Linked DNA regions of Mus musculus. The protein of the gene in region 1 purifies or fractionates together with the protein of each later gene. This does not show direct contact. Links are inferred from orthologs where the notes say so. Each region holds a gene or a part of one and is shown on either strand. Other genes may lie near its edges.

The links.
Region 2: the proteins of Lurap1 (region 1) and Cdc42bpb purify together in Homo sapiens (co-immunoprecipitation; 3 studies listed by BioGRID and IntAct, with this or other methods). This does not show direct contact. The link is inferred for Mus musculus from reciprocal best matches to the Homo sapiens genes LURAP1 and CDC42BPB.

The regions. Positions count from the first base shown.
Region 1 is NC_000070.6:116,141,769-116,146,110, forward strand, and holds the start of Lurap1 (leucine rich adaptor protein 1), read right to left. Parts: upstream 2,849-4,342; 5' UTR 2,727-2,848; coding exon 2,529-2,726; intron 1-2,528. UniProt on the Homo sapiens protein: Acts as an activator of the canonical NF-kappa-B pathway and drive the production of pro-inflammatory cytokines. Promotes the antigen (Ag)-presenting and priming function of dendritic cells via the canonical NF-kappa-B pathway.
Region 2 is NC_000078.6:111,318,645-111,322,451, reverse strand, and holds part of Cdc42bpb (serine/threonine-protein kinase MRCK beta), read left to right. Parts: intron 1-847; coding exon 848-981; intron 982-1,245; coding exon 1,246-1,488; intron 1,489-2,363; coding exon 2,364-2,474; intron 2,475-3,578; coding exon 3,579-3,807. UniProt on the Homo sapiens protein: Serine/threonine-protein kinase which is an important downstream effector of CDC42 and plays a role in the regulation of cytoskeleton reorganization and cell migration. Regulates actin cytoskeletal reorganization via phosphorylation of PPP1R12C and MYL9/MLC2.

The DNA.
Region 1 (4,342 bases):
AGGGCCCTCCTTAAGACAGCAAACACATCAGAAGCAGAGAGAAGATTTGAACCCATGTCTTTCCTCCATTCTTTGCCTAATACATTCTCACAAACTGCTCTGTGGGGGTGGCTTCTCATAGCAACAGCTCTTTGGGTGGACTGAGAGATTGCCATTGTTTGCCATTCCCACACATCTCAGAATCTGGCTCTTTACAGACTAGGGAAACAAAGCAAGAGTAGGAAGCCAACAGCAGGGTTGACCTTAGCCTGAAGGGCAAGTGTCTGCTCCTACACAAGGAGAGCAGGGCGAGGGGCATATCAGAGGGCTTGGGTCAGCTCTGCCTTACTGGCCTCAAACCTCCTGCCCTACCCTTGTGCTTCAGTAAACCAGAGGGTAGAGCAGAGTACAAGAAGAAATCAATGCTTTCCTGGCCTGAGGGAGAAAGGAGCCTGACTGGAGATCTTCCTCCTCTACTGGTACACTGTTCATGGGAAACCTAGACCCCAGGCTCGATGGGCCAAAAGTTAAAAGACGAAATTAGAAGTTAAATGTACTCCCTCAAAGTTTATAAAGAATGAGAGTCAGAGGTCAGGCTGGCCTCCGGATTCCCTGTATGAGAAGCAAGCCCATGGGCGTTTGAAACTTTTCTCATTTCAATGACACAAAGTGTGCCTAAAGTATCTGGCACAAAGCATGTCTTCATGATGAATGTGGCCAGATGATCTGGGCTCCAATCCTGACTTGACTTTCCTGAGTGACCTTGGGCAACTGCTTAACCTCTTCTTACCTCATTCTTTCATCTGTGAAATACCATGTATCAAGCCAAGCATGGAGGAGACATCACATAGCAGCCGTGGTACAGCTGGATTGTAGAGCGCTCTCCTAGCGTGTGAGAGGGTTCAATCTCAGGACCTCCGAGAAGAATGGCTGGGGAGAGGTGGCTCAGCAGTCAAGAGCACTTGTTCTCACAGAGCACCCAGGTTAGGTTCCCAGCACCCACATAGTACCTTACAACCATCCATAACTCCAGTTCCAATTGATTGGATGCTCTTTCTGACATCCATGGGCAACAGGTATGCATGTGATACACACATACACACACCAGCAAAATACTCCTACACATAAAGTTTCTTAAAGTTCTTTAAAAAGAAAAACACCTTGTACCATCCTGGATGTTAACACATGGCTTATATTCTAAGTATAATTTAATTTCCAGCAGGGAATGGTAGCACATGCCCATAATTCCAGCACTCAAGAGCCTGAGATAAGAGGAATATGAGTTTGGGGCCAGCCTGAGCTACACAGTAAGCCCACATCTCAAAAATAAAACAAAACAAAACACCTTAGTTTTCAAAGGACAAACTAGGTAAACTCTCTCTATGCCTTGAGCAATTTGTACAAAGAGACAAACCAGACCTCTTTAAGAGGAGAATACAGCCACAGCCCTGCTCAGCAGAATCTGGCACTCAGATACAACCTTCAAAGCCAAATGCACACTTGGCATTCAGATCCTGCCCTCAGCGATCCTCTCTGACCACTCAGCTCCGAAGGTTCTCTTAGCCTCTCTTACCATAGAATGAAAGCCCTGGACCTGCCTTCAAGGTCCCATGTCCTTCCTTCCACCCTTCCAGATCTGCTTGCCACAGGTTGTGCACACAGTGGGGCCCCAGGAAGACTTGTTAAGCCAGTGTGGGCTTCTGGTTCAGAGCCAGTGAGTAGCTGGCAGTTCCTCAGTTCTCCAGAACTGGCTGCAAAGTGGTGGCAGGTGTAATTCATCTCTTTCACCGGAACCAGGGCCCCAGGAGAGACCGCTGGGACCCGGCTGCCCATTTGGCTCAGAAACCAGACCAACAGCTACCAGAGAAGGGGGTGGGGAGGTGTGGCTGTTTCCTCCCCCTTTCTGCAAGAAGGTACAGAGACCCTGAGACTCTGTCTGAGACTGAGCCCCAGGTGAAGGACCAACTCGTACTGTGGTGCTACTGTGCCTCTATTAAGGTCTTCGAACGTCTAATACCGTGATGGTGGGATGCTTAGGAAAAGGACAGGTTTTTAGTGTGCCCCACCAGTGCAGGCAGTTTCCAGCAGGTATTACCTCACCAAAGCTCTTTTTTTTTTTTTTTCTGAATCCTGACACGAACACCCTAGGGCCTTAAGAACAAAACCTCTTCCCCTGTTTGCCAGAGAAGGGGGCAGAAAACGGTTGCCTTATAGTGGAGTCTGAAGAAATTGGTGGCCCCGGATGCCGATGGGAAGAATTTGCGCTGTACTAAGTTTTTTTTGTGTGCTACTTAGCCCTCGCCTCTCTCCTTCCGATTATTGGGCAGGGAAAACTTCCAAGAGATGTGCCTCCTACTCTCAGTTCTCAGGACCTATCAACCCTTCATTCACCCTTGGGAGACAAATAATGAGACGTCACTTCACTCTGCTTTCAACCCAGGATGTATGGATTGATCTTGGAAGGACCCTCTTCTCCAGCCCAACTCCGGGAACCTGCCCCTGCCCCTACAAATATCCCGTTCCCCGTGGCCTGTAGCACCCACACTCACCAGCTCCATCCTCAGCGCCATGATCTTGTCCCCTAGGCCGTGGCCGGTGCTGGGCGCCCCCGGGAGCAGCACGTCCCCAGAGGTTCCCAGCTCGCACTCGCCTCGAAGCCCGCGGAGCAGTCCTTCAGGGATCTTCCTGCCCACCTTGCCCTCCACGTCTCGCAAGTCCGGCGTCTGGGACTCCGCGGTCCCCTCCATGTGGGCCCAAGCCAGAACAGGACTGGGCGACCAGGGTCCGGTTCCCAAGGGTCCTCCCTTCTCTGCTACGAACGCGGAGCGAAACCCGTGGATCCCCGCCCGCCCCGCGCGGGGGGTGGGGTGGGGGAACAGGAGGAGGGCGCCGTAACGCTCAGAAAAGCCGCGCAGTTGGGGGAGCGAGGTACCGAGTGGTATGCACACAACTTCTAGCCCTGGAGGCGTTCGACTAGGTGATCCTGGATTTGGAACTGAAGACCTCAAAGAAAGCTCAGTGCCTTCTCCCTGTGTTGGCACCAACTAGACACGCAGCAGGAAGCTAATAAATATTTTCTGGATGAAAAGTAGCCCCAATCGAGGTAACACGGCTGCAGAGGTTTTGGAAGGCTTTCTGCTCAGGAGCTGTGCCTGTTACAGGGGCTAGAATACAGCCACTCAGTTCACAGACACCTCCCAGCATCTAGAAATCAGCTGAAAGAGTAATAGAAGGGCAATCCCCCTGGCCAGTGAGAAACAACCATTATTAAAATTGAAGGAATCCACAAATCTTGATGTTCATCTTACATGGGCTAACAAAAGAGGTGCTTCCTAAGACTGACTGTAAATATGGGTACTCTGAAAACCCTGGCAAGTTAGAGCCTGAGGTCCTGCATTGGCTTTTGTTTTGTTTTACCAAGATAGGGTTTTTCTGTGTAGCCCTAGAACCCACTGTAGACCAGGCTGTCCTGGAACTAAGAGATCCTCCTGCCTCTACTGGGGTTAAAGGCAGGTGCCACCACAGTCTGGCTTTTCTTTTTTTACAGAGAGGGTCTCACTGTGTGGTCCATAGCCTAGAACTTGCTATGTAGAGTGGACCGGCTTTGAACTCACAGAAATCCACCTGCCACTGCCTTACCAGGAATTAAAATCTTTTTTAAAGATTAATTTTAAAGATAATTTTCTATCTTAATTACAAGTATTTTAAAAGTATGTTCATGTAGGGATATGTACACATGAGTACAGGTGTCTAGAGGCCACAGAAGGGCAACAGATCCCTAGAAGCTGGACTTAGAGTTGTGAACTATGTAACATGGGTGCTAGGACTGAACTCGGGTCCTCTCTAAGAGTCGTATGTGCTCTTACCTGCTGAGCCATCTCTAGCCCCAGCCCCAGCCCCAGCCCCAGCCCCAGACCTGAGAGTCTGCATTTTTTTTAAAGATTTATTTATTTATTATATGTGTGTATGCTGTAGCTGTCTTCAGACACTCCAGAAGAGGGAGGGCATCAGATTTTTGTTACGGATGGTTGTGAGCCACCATGTGGTTGCTGGGATTTGAACTCGGGACCTTTGGAAGAGCTGATGGTGCTCTTAACCGCTGAGCTATCTCATCAGCCTGAGTCTGCATTTCTAAGAAGCTATAGGGGGATAGCCATGCTACAGTTCTGAGAACCACACTAAGTGACACGGTTATGTTTCTAAGCTGTTTGGACTTAATTCTACAGGTAAAGAAGGGCCAAGAAAGAGCCGGGCATGGTGGCACGCCTTTAATCCCAGCACTTGGGAGGCAGAGGCAGGCGGATTTCTGAGTTTGAGGCCAGCCTGGTCTACAGAGTGAGTTCCAGGACAGCCAGGGCTATAC
Region 2 (3,807 bases), on another chromosome or scaffold:
TGAAGGCCAGAAGAGGAAGTCCTGTTCCCTGCACTGGGAGTTAGAAGTAGTGGTGAGCCACCAAGCGGGTGCTTGGAACCAGAACTGAACCCAGGTCCTCTGCAAGAACAAGGACTTTTAACTGCTGAGCCATTTCTCCAGCACCTTCCGATCGTATTTATAGTTTGTGGTCATGGAAACTTCTAAGGACCCCGATCACTCCTGAGCCATATACCATAGCCACATGTGGGTAGGCTCCTCGGTCAGCCTCTGTCTCCAGGTTAGATTTGGAGTCTGTCTGCTCCGTTTCTGATTAGGCCCCACTATCCTGATTTTTAAAAAGGTTAGGGCTGAGTCGATTATTCACTAAACAAAGTACCGCCTTCCACTGGGACAGAGGCCAGCACTTTGCTGGATGTCAGAGGGCCTGAGGCAAATGAGCACAGGCACCAGAGGGAGGTCTGTCTGTGAGCGGAGGTCTCCAGAATAAAACAGAAGCAGAGTATAACAAGCAGTTAGGCTAGCCCTCGGGGAGCTGGCAGGGAGCGGCAACTCCGGACGCCATGTGCAGGGGAGCAAAGGCCTCTGAGGGAAGACATCGCGAGGCTGGCGAGATGGTGCCGTGGGTGCTTGCCACCAAATCTGACAGCGTCCAGTCCCTGCTGCCCACGAGTCAGCCTCTGACTTTCACACCCTCACTGTAGCATACACATGGGGACAGACAGACAGACACACACACACACTAAATACATGAAAACTAGTGAAGAAGACTGCTTCCTATGAATCCCGAGGTAACTCCAACTCAGTAAATCAGCTAACACCAAGTCACTGTACGCACAGGAACACAATCCAACTCTCTTCTGTCCAGATTCAAACAGGCTCGAACGCCAGCTGGAGGACACAGTGACACTTCGCCAGGAGCATGAGGACTCCACACACCGGCTGAAGGGCCTCGAGAAGCAGTACCGCCTGGCCCGGCAGGAGAAGGAAGAATTGCACAAGGTAGCGCAGGCTGTCTGAGTGAGGGAACTGTGTATGTGTGAGGGGACTCTGCTGCCGAGACCTACTGTGAGGAGGATTGGCTCACGTGGTGCTGAGCACCTAATTCGCACCCTGTTCCCGGGAGCACTCTGCAAACCCATGGCCATTTCTGGTCATTTCTGGCCAGCATTTGAATCGCTCTTAACTTACGTATGACAAGACACAGTTCCTGGGTTTCAGAGTCTTTGTTAGGGAAATGTAAAACCGAGAACTCTTTTCCTTCAGCAATTGGTTGAGGCTTCAGAGCGATTGAAATCCCAGACCAAAGAACTTAAAGACGCGCATCAGCAGCGAAAACGGGCCCTGCAGGAGTTCTCAGAGCTCAATGAGCGCATGTCGGAGCTCAGGTCGCTGAAGCAGAAGGTGTCCCGTCAGCTCCGGGACAAGGAGGAGGAGATGGAGGTGGCCATGCAGAAGATCGACTCCATGCGGCAGGACCTCCGCAAGTCTGAGAAGTCCAGGAAAGAGGTAGCTTCCCTTCCCGTGAGGATGCACGTATGCTGATGAACATGTGGGCACGGGACAACGGCAGGAGCCAGCCTCCTCCTCCACTGCCTGGGTTCCCCGGGGTCAGAATCAAGTCAGCAGGCTTGGGGACAGTGCCTTCTAGCACTTGACTAACTGGGACTTGGGTGCAGACGTCAGTCCTGCCTGGAACGCCCCTGCCCTGGACGGCTTCCAAGCCCTCCTAGGAGCAGCCGGTAGACTAAGCAACACGTGGCTTTAAGTCCTGCTAAGTGCACTTGATGGATCGTGAACCTCAAGAGCCTGCAGTGCTGAGCACTCTTCATGTCTAGGCTCTGTGTTCGTCCCTAAACACCTGACCGTGTTCTTGGTTGATTTTCTAACCCAGATGGACTTGTGGTGGTATCAGTGGGCTCACAGCTTAGGTCAGTGAAACCCCTGAGAATTGAGGATGAAGTGATGGGGACCCTGAGCTTTGTTTTAAAGCAGCCAGAGAATGTGGGCACAGGCAAAGCAAGCTTGGTCTCTAGCTAATAGTCACCTGTCAAAGCTGGATCATGGGTGTGTGCGGTTTTCTCTCCTTTAGCCGATGTTTGCATTTTTCATTTAAAAACTAAATTGTAAGTGTAATAATTTTTTTAATTACACCTTCACATGTCAGAGTTGTTTCTACAAATTGGGACCTTTCCTTGAATTTAAACCTCAGATTATCTATTTAACTAGAACGCAGGCTTGTTTGATTGCTAGTGGTCGTAGCCAGCCATTGCAGCTAAAGTGTCCCTCAGCCTTCAGCTCATGGCGAATCTGGCAAAGGGAAATCTGTACCGAGACTCTCGGGCCGTGTTCTGTTTTACTAAAAGCAGATCTGCTTTCCCTAGCTGGAAGCTCGGCTTGAGGACGCAGCTGCCGAGGCCTCTAAGGAGCGGAAGCTCCGAGAACACAGCGAGAGCTTCTGTAAGCAGATGGAGCGCGAGCTCGAGGCCCTCAAGGTAAGGCTTCCCCGTGTGCGCATGCACGTGGCCGCGGTGCTGGCTATCAAGCATGGTTGGACCCGTGTCTCCCAAGCGTCTTCCAGGAAGTCACAGGATGGGAGGAAGTGTAGGGGGTGGCCACTGCCTTTCTAACAGCTTCATTATAAAAGCCACATTCATTTCTCTGTTGTGTGGAAGTATCAGGTGTTTGTGGTCAGTATTGCCAAGTTAGCAGATGTTGCCTCCTTCTGATCCTGATCAAGTATAGGCACTTGGGCATGCTCAGCTCTGGAAAAGCCGTGTCAGGTCCATGTCCTTTGTTGATGCTGCAGAGACAAGCTGCTCCACACTAGGACCAACTGATGGGGTACGAGGGCAGTAGGAAGTCCAAGAGAAGGAACAGTCATGAGTGAGGGCCACCAGCTGCTTTCATCCGCTCTCAGTGTAGTGTGGTATGGGATGGGTGAGCTGGACTGAAGGGGCTGCTGGGGCCTCATAGTTATCATGGCAACTCTCTCCTTGAAGCCCAAGACATTTATTCCTCTGTCCTCTTCGCTACCATCGGATCCAGTCGGATCCAGCTCTTGGCAACCCCATCTCCTAGACTGCTTCCTGGGACTCTCTGCCGGCTCTTTACCTGTCTGTAGCGCATTCCTCACATACAGCCACCAGGGAGTATAACAGAAGTATCAGGGGCATCCAGCTCCTTCCTCGGTACCCTCTGGACCTGGTCTGCAGAGTGGCTGCTCAAGCTGAGTCAGCTCCACAGCCTTCCTCAGCCATGTCAGCCTTCCTCGTAGACCCGGCTCAAACTTCCACCCCCAGCACGCAGTGCTTAGGCTCCTCCAAGGCCAAGATGGCACCACACATCCTCTGTCCCACCACGTTCCCTCTTCCCTCACTTAGTGGGTTTCTGTCACCTCCTCCTGCTCCTGAGAACAGGGACCTTAGTGTCACCCCAGTCACTGGGAGATTTGTGACAAGCAGTCAGCACTCAGTGTTGGTAGGTGAATGGGTGGTGGCTGCTCTGCCTGGTACAGTCCTAGATGCCAGCTAGTAGTAGAAGAAGAAGAGACATCGTGGCCTTGACACCGAGGCTGTCATTTCAACCTTCCTCTGAAGGTAAAGCAAGGAGGCCGGGGGCCAGGGGCCGCGTCGGAACATCAGCAGGAGATCTCCAAAATCAGGTCGGAGCTCGAGAAGAAAGTCTTGTTCTACGAGGAGGAGCTGGTGCGCCGAGAGGCCTCCCACGTGCTAGAAGTAAAGAACGTGAAGAAGGAAGTCCACGACTCCGAAAGCCACCAGTTGGCCCTGCAGAAAGAGGTCCTGATGCTGAAAGACAAGTTAGAAA